Caenorhabditis elegans: one gene and its partners. The protein of the gene in region 2 interacts with the protein of the main gene of each other region in a pairwise test. Each region holds a gene or a part of one and is shown on either strand. Other genes may lie near its edges. The genes, in order: ubxn-5, atx-3 and cdc-48.2.

The links.
Region 1: the proteins of atx-3 (region 2) and ubxn-5 interact in a two-hybrid assay, tested with the Caenorhabditis elegans proteins (one study listed by BioGRID).
Region 3: the proteins of atx-3 (region 2) and cdc-48.2 interact in binary tests that used the Caenorhabditis elegans proteins (3 or more experiments, as listed by UniProt).

Annotation. Positions count from the first base shown.
Region 1 is NC_003280.10:10,233,333-10,238,588, reverse strand, and holds ubxn-5 (UBX domain-containing protein 5), read left to right. Parts: upstream 1-4,090; 5' UTR 4,091-4,122; coding exon 4,123-4,188; intron 4,189-4,228; coding exon 4,229-4,358; intron 4,359-4,406; coding exon 4,407-4,735; 3' UTR 4,736-4,756; downstream 4,757-5,256. Other genes in the region: F-box/WD repeat-containing protein mec-15, read left to right, coding at 325-450, 496-582, 907-986, 1,429-1,516; pugs-6 (BPTI/Kunitz inhibitor domain-containing protein), read right to left, coding at 3,081-3,327, 3,774-3,893. UniProt on the Caenorhabditis elegans protein: Probably acts as an adapter for ATPase cdc-48.1 and/or cdc-48.2, conferring substrate specificity. Unlike other UBX domain-containing protein does not bind 'Lys-48'-polyubiquitinated chain.
Region 2 is NC_003283.11:15,573,915-15,580,502, forward strand, and holds atx-3 (Ataxin-3 homolog), read right to left. Parts: upstream 3,530-6,588; 5' UTR 3,413-3,529; intron 2,974-3,412; 5' UTR 2,965-2,973; coding exon 2,797-2,964; intron 2,749-2,796; coding exon 2,603-2,748; intron 2,553-2,602; coding exon 2,398-2,552; intron 2,253-2,397; coding exon 1,768-2,252; 3' UTR 1,584-1,767; downstream 1-1,583. Other genes in the region: fbxa-94 (F-box domain-containing protein), read left to right, coding at 1-192; Coiled-coil domain-containing protein mdt-28, read right to left, coding at 307-528, 832-1,160, 1,425-1,482; F28F8.9 (uncharacterized protein), read right to left, coding at 3,739-3,894, 3,997-4,118, 4,165-4,243, 4,306-4,491, 4,543-4,572; F28F8.7 (ELM2 domain-containing protein), read right to left, coding at 5,179-5,805, 6,117-6,586. UniProt on the Caenorhabditis elegans protein: Acts as a chain editing deubiquitinating enzyme that binds and cleaves 'Lys-48'-linked polyubiquitin chains, with a preference for chains containing four or more ubiquitin molecules thereby modulating protein degradation by the ubiquitin-proteasome pathway.
Region 3 is NC_003280.10:8,134,929-8,142,482, forward strand, and holds cdc-48.2 (Transitional endoplasmic reticulum ATPase homolog 2), read left to right. Parts: upstream 1-3,567; 5' UTR 3,568-3,582; coding exon 3,583-3,654; intron 3,655-3,702; coding exon 3,703-4,028; intron 4,029-4,074; coding exon 4,075-5,050; intron 5,051-5,102; coding exon 5,103-5,821; intron 5,822-5,880; coding exon 5,881-6,220; 3' UTR 6,221-6,302; downstream 6,303-7,554. Other genes in the region: ctns-1 (Cystinosin homolog), read right to left, coding at 1-76, 318-548, 934-1,224, 1,272-1,512, 1,563-1,754, 1,846-1,979; ints-11 (Integrator complex subunit 11), read right to left, coding at 6,358-6,711, 6,758-6,841, 6,888-7,554. UniProt on the Caenorhabditis elegans protein: ATP-dependent chaperone which probably uses the energy provided by ATP hydrolysis to generate mechanical force to unfold substrate proteins, disassemble protein complexes, and disaggregate protein aggregates.

The DNA of each region.
Region 1 (5,256 bases), on a different chromosome or scaffold from region 2:
AGAAATTTTCCATCGATTTTTTGTATTTTTCGTTAAAACATACTCATTAATTCAAAAAAAAACTAAAATTAAAAATTAAAACGCACATTTAAATTTTAACAAATTGTGAGAAAATCTATGAAAATTCCACAGAAAAAAGTTGAAACTACAGTACTCTTTAAAGGCGCACACCTTTTCTAATTTAACAAAATATTATGTGCCGAGACCGGTTACCGTATTTTTGAGTAAAAAATTGCTACATTTAGATGCTGGGTGATTTAAAAAAGCATTTAAAAAGTTTTTTGAATCAAATTTTAAAAAAAATAATATGAAATTGAATTACAGGAATATTCTCCAACAGCATATAAATCATGTCTATCGCTTCAATGTAATCAACTTCTAACATCAACATCCGATGGAAAAGTCAAGTTGTATGATGCAAATAATTTCAACGTTTTGCAGACATATTCGGTAGGGAATATAGAATATTATTCAGTTAATATAAATAATTTCTAGGTCGGTTCCTATACCCGTCAATCATTTTTGGAGCACGGAGCACACTTGATTATGGCGCGAAGTTTGAAGCGTAATTACACATTCAGTGTGAGTAGAAACCATTTTAAGAAATTTCATAGGTCCCCCTATTTTCCTGAGAATTCGTTTTTTTTTTGCAAAATATGCAAAAATTCAGTGTTCCACTCTTTCCGTTTGTCTCTCTTTTTCGAGCACAAAAAATGAAAAAAAAAGCAAAGATGGATGTATATATTCGGAATTCGATTTGTCACAAGGCATTTTTTTGGTTTTTGGTTGCTTTTTTAGCACATTCTTGGACTCGGAAGAAAAAAAACCACATATCTAAAATTTTGAACGAACGAAAAACAGTGAAAATATGCATTAATTAGAATTTCAACCCGATTAAATTTCCAGATCTACAGCCCAGGAACACGTAGTCAGCAGTGGTGTGCTTCACATGAATTGGCCGCGGAGCCAGCCAAATTTGATTATTCGTAAGTTTAGTTGTTAGCACACAAAATTAATTGAAAAAATTTAAAAAAAACTTCTAAAAATGATAATTTGTAAAATTTTCATATTTTTCAGAAAATTTTAAATTTTCCAATTCTTCAAAATTTTGTAGGTTTAAGCTCTTAAAATTGCCAGATATTTTGGAATATTTTTAAAAAATTTGGATTTTCGAATTTTTAGAAAATTGGAAAATTCTTTATTTTTCGGCATTCCAAATTTTCAGAAAATTTTTTGCTTTTGGAATTTCCAACAAAATATAATTTTACGGCTTTCCAAATTTTCTAAAACTTTGAAATTTTTTGAATTCTTCAATTTTTATTTGTATTTTTCGGTTTTTCAAATATGCAAAAAAAACCGGTATTTCTGAAAAATTGAAATTATGCCAGATTTTTTTTTTGAAATTGACTAAAAATTTTATTTTTTCAGCCCATCATCGAGAACTCTGGCAATTGGCAATGGTGATAGCTCAATTCTGTTCTGTCTTCCAGCATCGGCTCCGGATCAAGAAAACTGAATATCTTCTCAATTTCTGAACATTTCCTTTGTGTATATACCAAATATCATTGCCATTTGATATGATCTCTTCTGAATCGATATCATTTAACTTCATATTTTATAGATTTGCATAATTATGAAATGTTTTGGCCCCTTTCCATGCTTCTTCCTGTTTAACCCCGTTTGGTGCACAGTTTAGCGCTCGCCCGCAAGAAAAACAATGGTGGAGCTCACCTGGAGCATCGTGTTATTTGTCTTTTGGCAAATACACAAAACAGTCTTCTCTCTTTCTCGGCTCGTGCTGCGTGGCTCATTTGCGTATATACTCTAAGGAGTTATGCATGGAACGTTTGGAACGTTTGAAGAAGAGAGCTCAATGTCTATGTCCCCCGTGTGCTCTCCGGAGACAAAGGGTTAGGCGGAGAGCAGCAATATGAGCATTTTGACAAGTACTCAAATATTTCTCCATTGTTTAGTTTCGAGATAATATGGTTAAAATCACAAAAGTTTCATGTTTACCGGAAAGATTTTCATAGTTAAAGTGTGCCATGCGGAGCCGGAAATCTAGAGAATTTCGTCGAAAATTTGAAATTCTTGGCAATAAAGTTATTATGGATCTTTTGAAATCGAGGCGCAAGGGCGCTCTATGGCACTCTCCGCCCCTAGACGTTGGGTCTCGTTAGGAATAGAATCCGGAAATTCGAATTTTAAATGTTTTTGTTGTTTTTAATGATTTTATGTCGAATTTTATGAATTTATATAATTTCGACATAAAAACAACGATAAATAATTAATTTCTCAGTGGAGCACATTTGCATTTCGACTTCAAAAATCGCATTTTTTTGCGTCCCTATAATAACCCCCTACTTAATATTTTTACCAACAAGATGTTTTGGTACACAAAAAGTGCATTTCGAGAACTAAATAATTGCTCCGAGAGCCGCGTTTCCCCTATTCACACTAACTCATTTTATCCAGTTTTGCATGTAAAAATCTTTTTATGCACAAAAAAACAACACGGGAGAGACGGAGAGCAAGATTTTCCTCTTTTTTCAAGAAAACTGAGCAATAAAGACATGAAAAGGCAAGGATTTATTTCAAAAATAGTTATTATTATACGTTCCAGAAAAAATTACGAACGTATAATAATTCGTAAAAGAATTAAAATAAAATACAAAAGACAATGTGTGAAACCGGGGAATTTAGGAAGGAAATAATGGGAAACGATGCCTACCTTGAAGGACAATCAATTGTACCGGAAAAAGACCAAAATGCATTATGAAAATGGAAAAAATGCAAGTGCGCTCTATTGATGTGTCAATAGTAGAGCGTACATGCATCAGATACTAAATTCAAAAACTAGAAAGGATTAGGAGATTTTCGAGAGTGAGAGAGATTCTAGACAAGGTTAACTGGAACTATAAAAGGAAAATGTAAAGACAATTATGTTCAAACAGAAGCAGTGGAAGATCGATTTGGGTTTTACACTTTTTGACAGTGTATCTTTTTTTGAATTAAACAGAGAAAATTTGTTACAGAGAAAGAGAAATAAAAAATCAGATTCTCACCCAAAATTTTCAAATTTAATTCAAGCGATGTGCTCTTCCCTTATGGAATGTTCCATCAGCATACGATCCAAGACTTTTTTCTTCTTTTCCAGCACATACTTTATCACAATCAACGACTCCGTAGAGAGTGAGATGTCCAATTGGTTTTGTGCTCATTTCACGTTTTGGGGTTGAAGCCTGACGTTTCAGCTTCTTCTGACGCTCGTGAAAGGCTTTTCCGTACTTTCTGGGGCGCTTCTCGAGGACAAAGTAGAAGGACCAGCTGGAAAATTTAAATAATTATTAAATTTGGTAATGTGTATTTATAAATGTTTTTGAAAAAAACTTTCCCCATTCCATTGAAATTTTTTGCAGAAAACCCCTATTTTTAAAGGTGGTGTAGCCATAATGGAGATTAAGCTTTAAAATTTTTTTTAATTGGTGTGAAACTCAGAAAACCCACAAAAAACATCGATAGAAAAAGAAGAAGAATTCTCCTTTTAAAAACTATATTTTCCAATTTTGGTTTATTTCTTTTTTTTTTTGGAATTCGCTCCAAAATGAGAATTTCTAGATTTTTACGAAACGGATCCCATTGGAAATCACAAATTTCGGAATAAAGATTAACCATTTTTTTGGTAAAAGTTCAATTCTTAAATATCTATCAAAAGTTGATAATTACATACTACTGACATAATTATTTTCCAACGCACACACACTTTCACTCACTCTGCCACTTTATGCGACCACGGACGAAGATACGTGCATCCTTCTTTATCATCCGGGAACCAAAACTTGTCTAATGTACAGAAGCCGCCTTCTCCCAGAATACATGTGTATGAGTGAAGCCTGAAAATTATAGTTTTTGAATTGTTATTAGAAATTGGAAATTGGAAAGTATTTGAATTTTTTGAACTGTTAGAAAGTACTCTTAAAAATATATTAGTTTTAAAAAATCCTGAAAAGAAAACGTGTGAATTCAAAAATAAATAAAATTTAGACTTTGCAACGTCAAATTCTGATAGCAAATTTTCAACAAAAAAATCATTACCACATTTTCACTAACTACCACTAGACGATGCCAACTAACAATCACGTACAAAAGGAGAAGTTTGCGGAGGATCGTGCTCTGTTGAGCCAACAGGTTAGATTCGGATTATGACAGTGATAAGTTAGAATTTCAGAACAAAGAATATGCGGAGAGTCTTGCCAAGGATATTGCAAAGAAAGAAGAAAAGGATAAAATTAGATTTGAAGCTGAACAGAAGGAGCTGAGGAAGAAAACCATTCAGGATTACAGAGAGAAGTTGAAAGGTAATTTAGAACCCATAGTTGCAAATAATGCAAGCTGGCCTATTCCAGGAACTGTATCACAAGGACCCCTCCGTCTTCTAGTACGATACCCCAATGGTTCTCGATTAATTCTGAGCTTCTCCCCATCACAACCGATGACTTCACTTTTTGATGCTATTATTTTGAATCCGGCGTGCCCTGACTATTTCTCGGTTCGAAGTGTCTATCCTCGTGCGGAGATTCATTGCTATCCAGCATGGTATCACACGATTTTCAATGCAGAATTCAAGGATGAAACAGAAAAAGGAGCAAATAATGTGGCGAAGGAGACGAATGAAGTAAAATGTCTAGAAACTATTCCGAATAACTCAATCCTCTACGTGAATTTGATTCAATGAAGTCAAACTCATCTTGACTATAATGCAGGGTATTTCATGTAGGCGCCAAGATGCCTAGCTGACCTTAAGGAGACCTTCACCTGCCTCGCGCCTTTAATGCCTTTGGGTGACGTGAGGCAGGTAGGTTCCAGGTAGGCTCTCACGCCGCGCCTGCCCATCACGGAAGACCTTCACTTAATGTATGCCTGATACATATAGAAATTCAAAAATAGCCAGACTTCAACCAAACTTTGGCAAGTTGTGGGCGAGAATTTTAAAAAAGTTCTCCATATCGATCAATAATTAAAATTTATTAAACTTGGCCAAGCTCTTGGGTTGAAGTTCATTGAAAATTTGCTAAAAGTTGGTTCAAAGTGTGGTGAGATGATTTGCATTAGAGAATGAAGGAAGTTTGGTAAGCCGTGAGCTAACTTGGGTGAGAAATTGGCAAATTGGCAAAACTTGGTAAGAAATTCCAAAGGGGAAATCTTGACGTAGAATCCAAGCTGAACTTCGAATAGATACTGGTAATCTTTCTCTGT
Region 2 (6,588 bases):
TCTGCCAACTTCAAATCGCTTAACATCACAACATGTTGCGTACAGGATTTTCTTCTTGTCGTTAAAGTTCTCCAACCAAATTTCATCCAAAGAGTTTTTGGCAGTGGCTCTACCGACTTTGCCATCAACGGCAAGAAATTCCATGTCGAGTTTGATCTGAACAACATCAAGATCGAAAAGAAAATTCGCTAATTTTCCGGTTATATTATTATATTGTTGGTTATAAACTTGTTGAGTTATACATTTAGATTTAGATTCGAGAAAAAAGTAGCAAAAATATACAAAAATAGCAAGGTAAAAAATAAATTAAGTGGTAAAATGTTTCCCAGCATTTGGATGTGCCTCATTGTAGATCTGAATCCGAGAGTTCAACATTTCTCTGGCGGCTGCGATGATAGTCTCCTGCCGTTCGATAGCTTCATCCAGGTTCTCCTCTTCAATCGCATATTGTGAATATGGTTGTTCCATTTCCCATTGAACACCGAGACGCGTGAACTCGTTATTCACATCGACAGAGGCATCGCGGAACTGAAACAATTAAGGATTTAAGTTTTTTTTTTGAAAATTGGAAATTGGAATTTTTTTTTGAAAATTACTAAAATGAGCTCCAAATTTCAAATTTTTGAATGAGAATCCTCCAAATTTCTCTAACATTTTGAATGGTAGACTCGAAAAGTAAATAGAAAATTCAAGTATTTTTATTTTTTATTTCAAAAATCAAAAATGGAAAAAAATGTTTAGAGAATTACCAATAAAACTTTGATAAATTGGTTTTTTTTAGGTAAAAAAGCTTCGAATTTTTCAGATTTTTTCCAGAATCCCACCACGTACATGTTTACTGCAGACTTCTGCGACTTCCTTAACATGATTAAGTGTTGATGGTGGTGGAACGGGCGCTTTAACCGATACATTCGTCAGCAGCTGACACCAATGCATCATAAGCGAATCGATTGCGTCGCCCAGATAAGTTGGCTCGATCGGCTCTTCGTCATCCTCGTTCGTTGAGCCGGCTCCATCATTTCTCATTCGTCTTTCGTCGTTTTCAATGGATCCATCAGCGGCTCCTTGTGGAACACTATTCGAGTATTCGTCGTCTGGAAGATCCGGAGCATCGCCGAGAATATCGTCAATGTCCTCACCGCCGCCGCCGAATTCTGGAACTATTAGATTTTGTAAAATATTTTTATTATTTCGGCTCAAGGGTGCCATCAAATAATTTTTTAAAGTTTTTTTTTTCAGAGAAAATCGGGAAAAAATGATCAGAAAATTAACAAAAAAATTCAATTTTTATCAAATTTTGTATTAAAATAGCTTAAGATATTGCCATTTTCTTCTTTTGAGTAAAAAAACTGGGAAATCCTACTCCTCGTGGAGCACTAGCTTAAGCTCGAATTCGAAAAATTTCTTGAATTTTCAAAAATCACCATTCATTGGCATTTCCTGTTCTTCTCCGCCGTCCTCTGCATCCAATTCCTCGAACATTTTCAATCTAAAAAAAATGATTATTTTTTCCAAAAACTCTAAAATTGAAGGTAGTAATACTCATGGAATGCCAGAATAACTTTGAAAAGGGCAACAAAATTCAGAAAAAAAGGAGATTTCATCTAATTCTAAATAATATATCACATAGTCTGAAAGCGGTTCATACATAAGCACCAAGTATTTGGGGATACAAGTATCGGGAGAAATGAATAATCGAATTATACAGGAAAAGCCGAGAATATATTCACATAATAGAATTCAAATAATAAATTTACGATTAAATCGTTATTTTTCATCGTTCCTCTCTTCTTTCTTCTTTTCGAATCGCTCCAAAAACTTTTGTCGATCTCTGCGCTGTTGTTCGGCATTTGAAAAAGGTTCTGAAGCTCCTGGCGGCGTCGAAGATCGAGAACGAGTCAATAGCGGTATCTCAGCCGGTTCTGATGGTCCTGGAGCCTGGCTCAGCTCAATCGCCTTTCTGAGATTTTCTTCATCGATTTCAGCGGAACTTCGAGACACTTCAGAGCCATCCTTTGTTTCCATAGACATTGCAAAAGCTATCGCCAAATCTTTTTCTTCTTGAGAATCCGGAGGAGCACCGCTTCCACCGCCAAGTCGTTTTCCGACGGTATTGAAGAATTTTGTCATGACTTTCTCCAGCTTCTGCTCCTTTTTCGGTGTAACTTTTGGCGGTACAACTGGGCATAGCGAGATGAGATCGTCTGCATCGGATCTTGGCAAAACTCCCTGCACCACGAAGATTGAATAACCTGAAAATTGATAAATTAAAATAATTTTCGATTTTTGGAACTTTTTTTCAGAAAAAAAAATCAACGCTACAGCTTGTAGTTTAGGGATAAATAAAAATCTGGCTCTAATTATCAAAATTTAGCTTCAAAATTCATGAATTTATACCTTCCGACGACACTTGATGCAAGAACATGCTAACATAAGTGTCAGAGAGCAATTTGGGCCCACGGTTCACCGAATTCAGCTCGAACCATTGATTTCCGAATTTTCGGAGCACAAACCAGTGCTCTCTGAGGTTGCATATGTAAGCACGGGCGGTTCTGAATTGGAAATTATGAAATTTTTTTGTAAATTATATGGTAACTCGTACAAGGGATTATTTTTATAGTCCACCATCGCAGGATTTTCGATATTTGTGAGCTTGAGGCTAAATGTTTCAAGTGCTTTCTCCAAAACTTGAATTGAAAAGTAGCCGCTTTCGTTCATGTTCTCACTTCGTCCCGGAGTTGGGTTTGCCTGAAAAATCAAGAATTTCAATTAAAATTTTTTCGTATTTTCCATTACATTTCCCAGAATTTGTTGTTCCATTTTATCCATCTGAATGGCCAAGTCTCGGAGATCTTGCCACTTGTACAGAGCATCTTGTAGGAGCATATTCAGCGCGTGTTGAGCACAAAGAGCAGCTTCCTGGTGCTCGAAGAAGATGGAGTTGATCGGATCGTCTTTTGACATTTTTTGGAGCTGGAAAAATTTGGATTAGGGAAACGAATGGAGAAAATAAATAAAACACCTCAAATTTTGGAGAAGAAAACTTGGAAATAGTTTTATTTTTTCGATTTCACAATAATATTCCTCATGCTGAATGCCAAAATCGATATTTTTTGTAAGACGGATAGGTTTAAAAAAAAAATTGAGATTTTATAGGAAAATTCGCGAAGAATTGTTAACAAGCTGTTATTTTTCGAAAAAAACAACACGACTTCTAATGTTTTCCATGGAACTCCAGCACAAAACTGCAAAACCATCGGATATATTGTTAGAATTTTTACAGGATAAACTTATTTTAATAAAATTACGTCAATTTATAACTTGTTTTTCAACAAAAATAACCAATTTCGTTTGACAACCTACGAAAAATGTGAAATTTGATGAAATCGAAAAAAAAACGAAATTAAAAAACCTCAACGATGCTCCGAAATAACGACACCGCGTGTTGTTTATTCTACGTTTTATTGACTTTATTCAAAAGGTTTTCGAGAATTTCAGCTTGAAATAAGAATTTCGGTATGTTTTGGAGCTGAAAAAAGTCAAAGTATTCTGCAGAATATTGTTCTGAAATTGAAAAAGTCATAAAAATCGTATCGTAAATATAATAAGGCTTAAACACAACCTCGAAAAAATATACGACATTTTACAATGAAATCGAGAGAAATTGGCTAGTTTTATGCAAAATTCACAGAAGAAAATCAATAAATAAGTTAATAAATATGTCACATGAAATTAGAATTAGTTCTGGTTTTTCGGCGACTTCAAGTCTCCGTTTTCGTCGATTAATTGCATCTTCAATGCGCGAAATCTCGTCCAATACGTGACGTCATACCATTCTTTGATGTCGAGAACTTTTTGAACGCCTTGTAGCTTCAACGTCCATTCCACGGGGCTCTGTAACGATTTTTGATATAATTTTTGGTAAAAAATTGAGAAATAATTTATACAACGTGTCATTTTTTGTAGAAAATCTTCAATTTTAAATTTTTATATTACTTTAAAAGGAATTTCGAAGCCATCTTTCCGTCTCCGCTGAGCAATCGCCATCTGTCTTGCTGATGTGATTATTCGAAGTTTTGCCAAATCTGTGAGCCTTTCCAGCGCTTTTTCGTCGATTTCTAAGCCAAATAAATATGGAAATGAATGAAAAATTCAATTTTCTACCTTCAAATCCTGCAAATAGTGTCATTAATCGGATGCCAGCCTGCAAATCATTTTCGAACTTCTCCTTCTCGACTCGGCACTGCAAATTGACTGAAAAATATGTAAAAAATAGAAAAAAACTGTTGAAAAATAAATTCTTACTCTCTTTCTGCATGGCTCATCAAATTCCTCGGCTTTTCGTTTCTCAATCTTCGGAATTTTGAAGCTTTTCACATTTTTGAAGTATTTTTTCACATTTTCTGTTTCTTCTAAACTCCAATCGTCTCTTCGAAGCACGTCTTCCACGTACATTGTGGCGCCGAGAAGGTAGCGGGCCATTTTTTTTAGCTGAAATAAGTCATTTAAAGCGTAAAGAAGGAAATCTGGGGCAAAACGAACAAGTTGACAAGAAAATTCATCTATTTCCATTAAAAAAAATTTCGCTGAAGAAATTTGCCGACGTCACTCCAATGTTGCGCCGGAGCCTTGTTTAGCGTAAATCTACACAAGCAAATTTTAGCGGTTAATTCGAATATTAAACCTGAAATCTCTCGATTTGGGTAAAGAAAACAATATTTTCAACTGAAAACTGAAGTATAAGTTGAGTTTTTGGATAATTCAACCAGCATTATGAAACGAGAAACAAGAATATCAACAGAATATCACTTTTGTAAGTGAGAACCGGGGGAATGTTTAAATTTAAAAAAGGGAAAGCAATTAAAAATGTCGAAATAACTTCGGGAATTGAGAAATGTGCAAAGTAAGAAAACAACAAAAATTTATAGTCAAAGTACAGGGATTTGGAATTAAAAAAAATAAGGGAAACATACAGTTACTTCAAAGGCGCAAGCGTCATTGCAATTCGATGGGTCTCGTAGCGAATGGTTTATTTTTGCATCATTATTTTTTGCTGAATTTCGAAAATATTTTTATTTTATTTATTTTTAAAATTTTTTCATAAAATCTTCGTCTTTTGATAACGTTTGCGCCTTCAAAGTAACTTTAAACCGAAAAAAATGCAATAGGATATGTGATTTATGGTCTTTGAACTCGTTCGAAATTTTTCGAATTTTTCACCGAAACAATCATCGTCTTGAGCTTTTCCGCTACTCCTGGGCAAACTTCAACGATCATGTGATGTCCATTTTGATAACCGCATTTTTGGAAAAGCGGGATAGAATATGGCTTCAGCTTTTCAGACGTTGACATTGCAGAAATACGCTTCTCCACAGCCAAATGACGATTGATATTGTCGTTGTGTCCGAGAATTTCGATCTCTTCCTTTGTGAGCTCAGATCTCTTCAATGCGTAGATCTTCTCAAACTCTTCCCGTGACAGTGAGCCCGACGATGTTCGCATCAGCGTATTCCAAGAAATAACCTTGTTGGCTTCTTCCTTGCTGAACACAGTGGCTTTCGATGGACGGGTGTTTCCAGTAATTCCTTGATAAGTAGAGCAGATCAGACAGAGCTTAGTATCGTCGGGAATTGGATCGTAATACTTCAACGCTTTGTTGCAATTCTGACAAGCCCATCGAGGTTGAAACTCCAAGTCCTCACAGAGCGGCTCGTTGCAGTGGCAGGATTTGCTGGTTTTTTCCATGATGTGATGTTGGAATGCGTGGCAGAAGTGATGGATCTCGTCGAGGTTGTAGTTGGGCATCTGGAAGCATTTTATTTGAGAAAATTCAGACTATCCTCACAAAAATCGAAAATTTTTTGAAAAATAACGTTTAATTTTTGGTCATTTTCTTTTTATTTTAAAAAGAAAATTTTTATGTTTTCCTATGTTTTCGCTTATGAACTAAACAAAATATTATGAAAATTAATCTTTATTGTTAATTTTCTTTAAAAATTTTTTTTTTCGACTTTTCGAGTTTCCGGAAAATCACATTTTCCGGCAAAAATCTCGAAAATATATGGCTTAAAATTGAATTTTTCTTTAATTTTCTCTCTCTATTAGCTTCAACTTACACAATTCTTCTGAATTTCTCGCAAAATTGGCCCTTTTTTCATCTTCTTGAGAGCATCTTTGAACCGCTCAATTTGCACAACACGAAGTGGCTGGAAAGCACGTGGAAGATCTGGAAGTACTTGATCAATGGAATCAAGGCTCTTCTCAATTGAATAGTCGTTGATCATCAACCATTGAAGTGCAACCTCCATCGGAATATGATTTTCGAATTGGCGCCAAATTGCTCTCCAGTACGCGTTTTTGAGCAGGTCGTAGTCCAAGTTTTGATCATCATCAGGCGGACACCACATTCTCTCATCTCGATCCTCCTCCTCATCGCGTCCTCGGAGTTTTTTGAATGGTCCGACATGGGCTTGGTGTTCACGTCCTACTGCATTCTCGAGATATAGAAAATTTTCCGAATTTTTCGGAGAACGGCTTTTCGTACACAGAGCTCGTTGCAGGAGCGGCGGAACCTGGTCCACTGAAGCT
Region 3 (7,554 bases), on a different chromosome or scaffold from region 2:
CGGCATATTGTTCAGCATCACGAGCAATATTGTCTGGATTGGGATTGTCAACACCATGATATTCATTGTGTGGAACCTTCAAAAAGTTATATTATTTAAAATATCAGAATTCAATTAATTTTTAAAGATTTAGTAATCTAACATAAAGTTGTTGGTAAGTAATTATTTTTTGAATTAAAACATATAGAAACATTCAAGGAACCTGATCATAACTATTAAAAACGACTCGTTTCCTGATTTTTCTTTGGTTCCTGAAATTTTTTGTTCTATTCATAATTTTTTAAAATAATTAAAGGGATAAAAACTAATTGACTCACTTCTGCATTTGGATACAATACATAATGTTGAACCATGAAAATGATGTCAAAGAATATTGAGACAAATCCCAGTCCGAATTTGACGGGATTCGCATAAAATGCAGACCAATCGTTCACATTAACTGCTTGAAGAATCATTTGAAGAATATCGAGAGTTCCTCCTGTGAAATCTAGCATGATGTTTCCGATTGACCATCCAACTGTACTTTTTCGGGTATAGTTGAAGTAAGCCTGAAATTATTTACAATTTATTTTAGATCACTTGTATTTTTTAAAATTAATTTTCAATAGTTAAATATTTTTTGATAATTTCTCTACGATTGGATAAAAATATTTTCGATTGAATAAAATTATAATTTAAATTAACATGTTTTCGATAAAACATCATTTTCCCAGCTTTTTTTCGTGAATTTTTGATGACGATACAGTACTTTTTAAGGCGCACAACTTTTTGAGTTAAACAAAATCTGTCGTATCGAGACCGGATACCGTAGTTTTGGCGCAAAATTTCGCGGTCAAGTTTTGAAAACTTTTTTGGAAAAACTAGTAATTTAAAAATAATAAAAAATAATTTCAGGCTAGAATACTGTTTACAAATGGACAATATGAAACAAACCTGTGGGAAATATTTACAGCAGGTTACAGCCATTTTTATGTACGACAAACTGGTCACAAACGAGAGCAATTGAATTTTCCTGAGAACCGTGGCGGCAGCGGAGCAGAATCCAAAAGAGATCAGCACAATCATAAGGGCGATACATTTTGAAGAAACACTCTGATTATCACGTTCATAGAATAAACATTGAAGAATTGTGATAAAGCAGGCAAGAAATGCGTGAACAGCGAACACAACATCGTTCAAAAGTACTGGTGGCGGTGACCGAGGATTCACAATATTGTATTCATTCTGAAAGAAGATGAATTAATTTTAGTTATTTATTTTCTAGTTCTCACCTTTACATGACTATTATAATACATTAACAGATTGAAAATAGCATATGCACAAAATCCGACAAGGTTCAGAGATAAGAAATCGAAGTTTAGCCCGACGACGCTTTTTCTTTTGAAATTCAGATACATTTGGGGATAAAACGAAATACTCCATGCGAAGAAGTATGTCCATCCAACAATTTGAATCAAAATGGCAAGAAAGTGAGAGCGAATAACTGTGATTCTAGCAAACGCATCTTCAAGACTGGAAATGAGTTTTGATTTAATTTTTACAATATATAATCATCGACTCACTCCAGAGGACAAGTAATTGACCCATCTGTAGTACAATTGAGAGCTTCTAAAATAGCTCCGGACACCAATTGGCTTCCTAAAACTGTCACATTAGCATTCCAATTGTCAACGAGAATAGCATCAGGATGGGAGATGTATGGTGACTGCGAGAGGGAGATACGTGTTGCGTTCAATGATTGTGATGTGTGGTTTCTGAAAATTATATTGATTGAATACAGCACATGTTCGTATGATTGTTTTTATTTTATAACCTGTTGGATGAAAAATATTATTAATAACTCACTTGATCTGGAAATTAACAGAGACTTCTCCTCCAATTACAATTTCCAATTCTTTCTGTCTAACAACTAAATTATTTGTCGCAAATGTGAATGGAACCAAGAAGAGAACGAGCAAAAATGCCACCGGGAAACTCATTATATCATTCTGGAAACAATTATACTTCAAAAAATGGAAGCAAAATATAAAACAGGAGTTGTGAATAGAGAAAACGACGCTTTATATCATCAGTTTTGGCATTGAAATGAATCAATAACATAAATTGAGCGAGAAAAAGAGAAACAGCAAAATAGTGAAAAACGAATGATTGACCGAGAGAACGGGGGAAGGTTGGAATTTTTGTAAACAAACGAGGGAAACATCATGTTGAAAACATATATATACACATTTTTTATTTAATGCGTCGGAATATTCAGAAAATCGTTCAGATCATCGATAATTTTTATTGATAAAAGACCAAAAATCCAGTTTACATGAGGAAAACAATACACTGTGAATTTTAAAGAAAATTAAATATTCCAAAAAAATTTAATTTAATTTGTAATTTGGGAAACTGAAACAATAAAACACTATCGAAAACTTAAAAAAAAACATGGATTGAAGCTCAAAAAAACTGTTTTAATGTTTCGTTTTGTAGAACTTTAGATTTTTGTAAAGCGGGAGACACCACGAATCCGCAAGAAGTTTCTTCCAGAAGCAGATTCGCTGAAAAAAAATGAAGTTGTCTTAAACCTGATGCTTTTTTTTGATAATTTTTATACATTATGTGGTTTCCTGGTTGGCCATTTTGTTAAAATCATTATTTCCTGTAATAAAAGTCAGGCGTTCTCAGTTATTTCCAGATATCGGATTCCTAAAATAGCTGAACTCCAAAAAACGGTCAAGTCTCTGAACACCAAACGCGCTCCTTCGAACAAAAAAAGCAGCGCGTACGTTTAACGAACAGTTTTTTCTTCTAGAAATTGTTTTCTCATTGCGCAATGCATTGCTCATTATAAATAATTATGTTTTAAACAGTTGCTGGGAGGTTTTCGCTATCTCAGTCGTTGTTAAACAATTACCAGAGTGTGTTATCGTATTTATCTTTGCCGTATAATATCTTTTCCATATTTATGCGATTGCGGAAATTTACCACTGACTCTGCGGAAACTGCGGAAATTTACCACTGAAATATCACTCATATCGTACGTTTCTTTGAATTCGTCTCCTTGTTATTCAAATTATGTCTTCGTTTTTGAACGAGATATTTACCTCTAGCTTTCTAGATCGTCACATCACTTAGGTTCGCCTTGAACTTCTGTTCCGCTAAAGACGGCTGGTTCACATATATTTTTAACAATGTAATTATTACTTATGACCCGAATAAAACGGTAGAACGCTTTGTGAAATTATTCGAAAGCAAATGCGCCCCAAGGAGAGAGTGTGAATGAGAGGCTGCGTTTTGTCATCATGTAGAGGCAGCATTGGGGTGTTCTGTAGAGAACTTAGTCTACGTGTCTCATCTTCCATATTTCTTAATTTTGTTCTATTGGCTCTTTTTGCATCTCTTCTTTGATTCGATTCTTTAACTGAATTAGATCAGAAATTATACTTGAAGTTTTATCTTGAAAACCTACTGTAGAAAAGTTTGTCCGTGTTCTACTTTCTTATTAGACTTTCGCGTTTCGGCCTTTCCTATGTTCTACCCCCATCTTCCGTTCTTTTTTATTATTCCAAGATTTTACAGAGAAGTCGTTTAACCATGGCCTCAGTTCCGACTCAGAGAGACGAGAAGGAAAAGAAGAATGATGAGCTGGCTACGGCTATCTTGAAAGTAGGTTTTTCTCCAAGGTAATCATTTCAATATAATTAACTCTTTCAGGACAAAAAACGCCCAAACAGACTCATTATCGATCAGTCTGACAATGACGACAACTCCATGGTCATGCTCTCACAGGCCAAAATGGACGAGCTGGGACTCTTCCGTGGAGATTCGGTGATTTTGAAAGGAAAGAAACGAAGAGAGACTGTCTCTATCGTTCTTAATGCGGACAATTGCCCGAATGACAAGATCAAGATGAACAAAGTGGTTCGAAACAACCTCAGAAGCCGTCTTGGAGACGTTGTCAGTATCTCAAGTGCTCAACTCGAATATGGAAAAAGGGTTCATGTTCTTCCAATTGATGACACAATCGAGGGATTGACTGGGTATGTTCTTGCCACGGAGAAATAAAGACTGTATTTTTTATTTTAGAAATCTATTTGATGTCTTCCTTCGGCCATACTTTACCGACGCCTACCGCCCAGTGCACAAGGGAGACATATTCACTGTTCAAGCTGCAATGAGAACTGTCGAGTTCAAAGTTGTCGAGACGGATCCTGCTCCGGCGTGTATTGTTGCTCCAGATACTGTTATTCACTATGAAGGAGATCCAATTAAAAGAGAGGAAGAAGAGGAGGCTCTCAATGAAGTTGGATACGATGATCTCGGAGGTGTTCGTAAACAACTCGCTCAGATCAAGGAAATGGTTGAGCTCCCACTTCGCCATCCCCAACTTTTCAAGGCTATCGGAGTGAAACCACCACGTGGAATTCTTCTGTTCGGTCCACCAGGAACCGGTAAGACACTGATCGCAAGAGCTGTCGCCAACGAAACAGGAGCATTCTTCTTCCTCATTAACGGACCGGAAATTATGTCTAAAATGTCTGGAGAGTCGGAATCGAATCTTCGTAAAGCATTTGCCGAGTGTGAGAAGAACTCACCTGCTATTTTGTTCATTGACGAGATCGATGCGATTGCTCCAAAGAGAGAAAAGGCTCACGGTGAAGTCGAGAAGCGTATCGTCTCGCAACTTCTCACACTTATGGATGGACTTAAAACTCGCGCTCATGTTGTCGTGATCGCCGCTACTAATCGTCCTAACTCTATTGATGGAGCCCTTCGTCGTTTCGGTCGCTTTGATCGTGAAATTGACATTGGAATCCCTGATGCTGTTGGCCGTCTGGAAATTCTCAGAATTCATACCAAGAACATGAAATTAGGAGAAGACGTTGATTTGGAACAAGTTGCAAACGAATGCCACGGATTTGTCGGAGCTGATTTGGCTTCCCTCTGCTCTGAGGCTGCTATTCAGCAAATTCGCGAAAAGATGGAGCTGATTGATTTGGAGGATGATACAATTGATGCTGAAGTTCTCAATTCTTTGGCGGTCACTATGGAGAACTTTAGAGTAAGTTATCATTTTTTTGCACTTAAGAGACGTATCATTAATCATTTTTCAGTTCGCAATGGGAAAATCATCCCCATCTGCTCTTCGCGAAGCCGTTGTGGAAACTCCAAATACTACTTGGTCCGACATCGGAGGTCTTCAAAACGTCAAGCGCGAACTTCAGGAGCTCGTTCAATACCCTGTAGAGCATCCAGAAAAGTATCTCAAGTTCGGAATGCAACCATCTCGTGGAGTTTTGTTCTACGGTCCACCAGGATGCGGTAAAACACTTCTCGCTAAAGCGATTGCCAATGAATGCCAGGCTAACTTCATTTCCATCAAGGGACCCGAGCTTCTTACTATGTGGTTCGGAGAATCCGAAGCTAATGTTCGCGACGTGTTTGATAAAGCTCGTGCTGCCGCTCCATGCGTTCTCTTCTTTGACGAACTCGATTCGATCGCAAAGGCCAGAGGAGGAAGTGTAGGAGATGCTGGAGGTGCTGCCGATCGTGTTATCAACCAGGTTCTCACTGAAATGGATGGTATGAATGCCAAGAAAAACGTGTTCATTATTGGAGCTACCAATCGTCCTGATATCATTGATCCAGCTGTTCTTCGTCCAGGACGTCTCGATCAGTTGATCTACATTCCTCTTCCTGACGAAGCATCTAGACTTCAAATTTTCAAGGCCTCACTCCGCAAAACGCCCCTTTCCGCCGATCTCGATTTGAACTTCCTTGCCAAGAACACCGTCGGTTTTTCGGGAGCCGACTTAACCGAAATTTGCCAAAGGTTTGTTATAAAAATTAGTTAAAAAAATATTCGCATTTGTCAATTAATACCATTTTCAGAGCATGCAAGCTTGCCATTCGTGAATCAATTGAACGGGAAATTCGTCAGGAAAAGGAGCGTCAGGACAGAAGTGCTCGTGGAGAAGAACTTATGGAGGATGAACTGGCTGACCCAGTTCCAGAAATAACTAGAGCACACTTCGAGGAGGCAATGAAGTTCGCTAGACGTTCCGTGACTGATAACGATATCAGAAAATACGAGATGTTCGCCCAGACTCTTCAACAATCTCGTGGATTTGGAAACAACTTCAAGTTCCCAGGAGAAGCTCCTTCTGCTGGACAACCTGTTGGAGGAAACGGTGGCTCCGGTGGAAATGACGATGATGACCTGTACAACTAGATTTCGCTAAAATTGTTTTATTCTATTTATTGTAAATGCATCCTTGCGAGGGTATCAAATGTTCTCATGAATGTTAAATTTATTTCCAACTTTTACAAGTAAAAAAATCGTAACCGTAAAAAGTATTTGTTAAAATCTTATGCTTTAACAGAGATAGCAGGAGGGACCGGGGAGGATTCGGGTGAAATGAGATCAGTGATGGCTTTATGGATAACCTTGAACCACTGTTCACGGCATTCGTCCCAGATCAGTTCAAGCTCTGTTTCATCAGAATTGTTTGCTAAAATAGTGATTTCTCCATCAAACATTTCAATGCCGTCGTCTTTTAGTTGCAAGTGTGGATCATAGAGTAGAAGCTCGTTTGATAATTCCTTCCAATTCACTTTTTTGCCTTTGATGATTTCTGACAATGAGAGAGTGATCGGCATGCAGTTTTTATCTTTTATCAAATCTTCTGATTCTGCTGTAGACATGATATTCAGTCGTTCATTCTAAAATTATTTGAAGTTATTGCAAAATAAAGTTCAATAATCTTACTTCTTGATCGTAAACGAGCTCGGCGACAAATGGGCATTCCGATTTGGCAGGATTCGGATCGAGGCTTAGGCTTCTGTCAATTTTCTGGAATTTTTTATTTGAGTTCAATTTGTTTTAGAAACACACAAACCTCAAGTGGAACTCGTATATCAAGCTTCGGTTGAGCAGAAATCACTACAGTCTCTCCGTTTGCTGGCATGTGAACAGGTACTTTGTACTCCTTTTCCACTTTTCCTTTCAAGAACTCCATCTTTGAAGCTTCGCCGTGCACAAACATGACGTGTTGAGGCTCACATTGACGGATAAGCTGCATAATTCCTTTAGCATCAGCATGAGCACTAAACGACATGTATTCCACACCAAGTCGAATTTCGTGCATCTTTTGATCAATTTCAATTTTCTTTTCGCCATTAATAACTCTTGCTCCAACTGTTCCAGCGACACAGTAACCAGGCATAATGATCATGTTCAGAGGATCTGAGCACCATTTTTTGAAAACTTTGAGCGATTGACCTCCGTGAAGCATTCCAGGAGTAGAAAAGAGAACCTGAGGTCCTGGTTGATCTTCACATCCCTTTTCCATTGGTTTGATATGCTTGAATTCGAACATATTTCTTTCTACGAAAGTTTTCTTAATGTTCTCGTTGGTCCAGCTGATGAAAAGTCGGTAATACTGATTTGCCCGTTCTGCAAGACCTTGGGAAAAATAGATTGGTACGTTGAGAGCCATTCTCTCCCAATATGATTCAAGCAGGATACACAGCTCCTGCGCTCGTCCCAAGGCAAAGACTGGAATA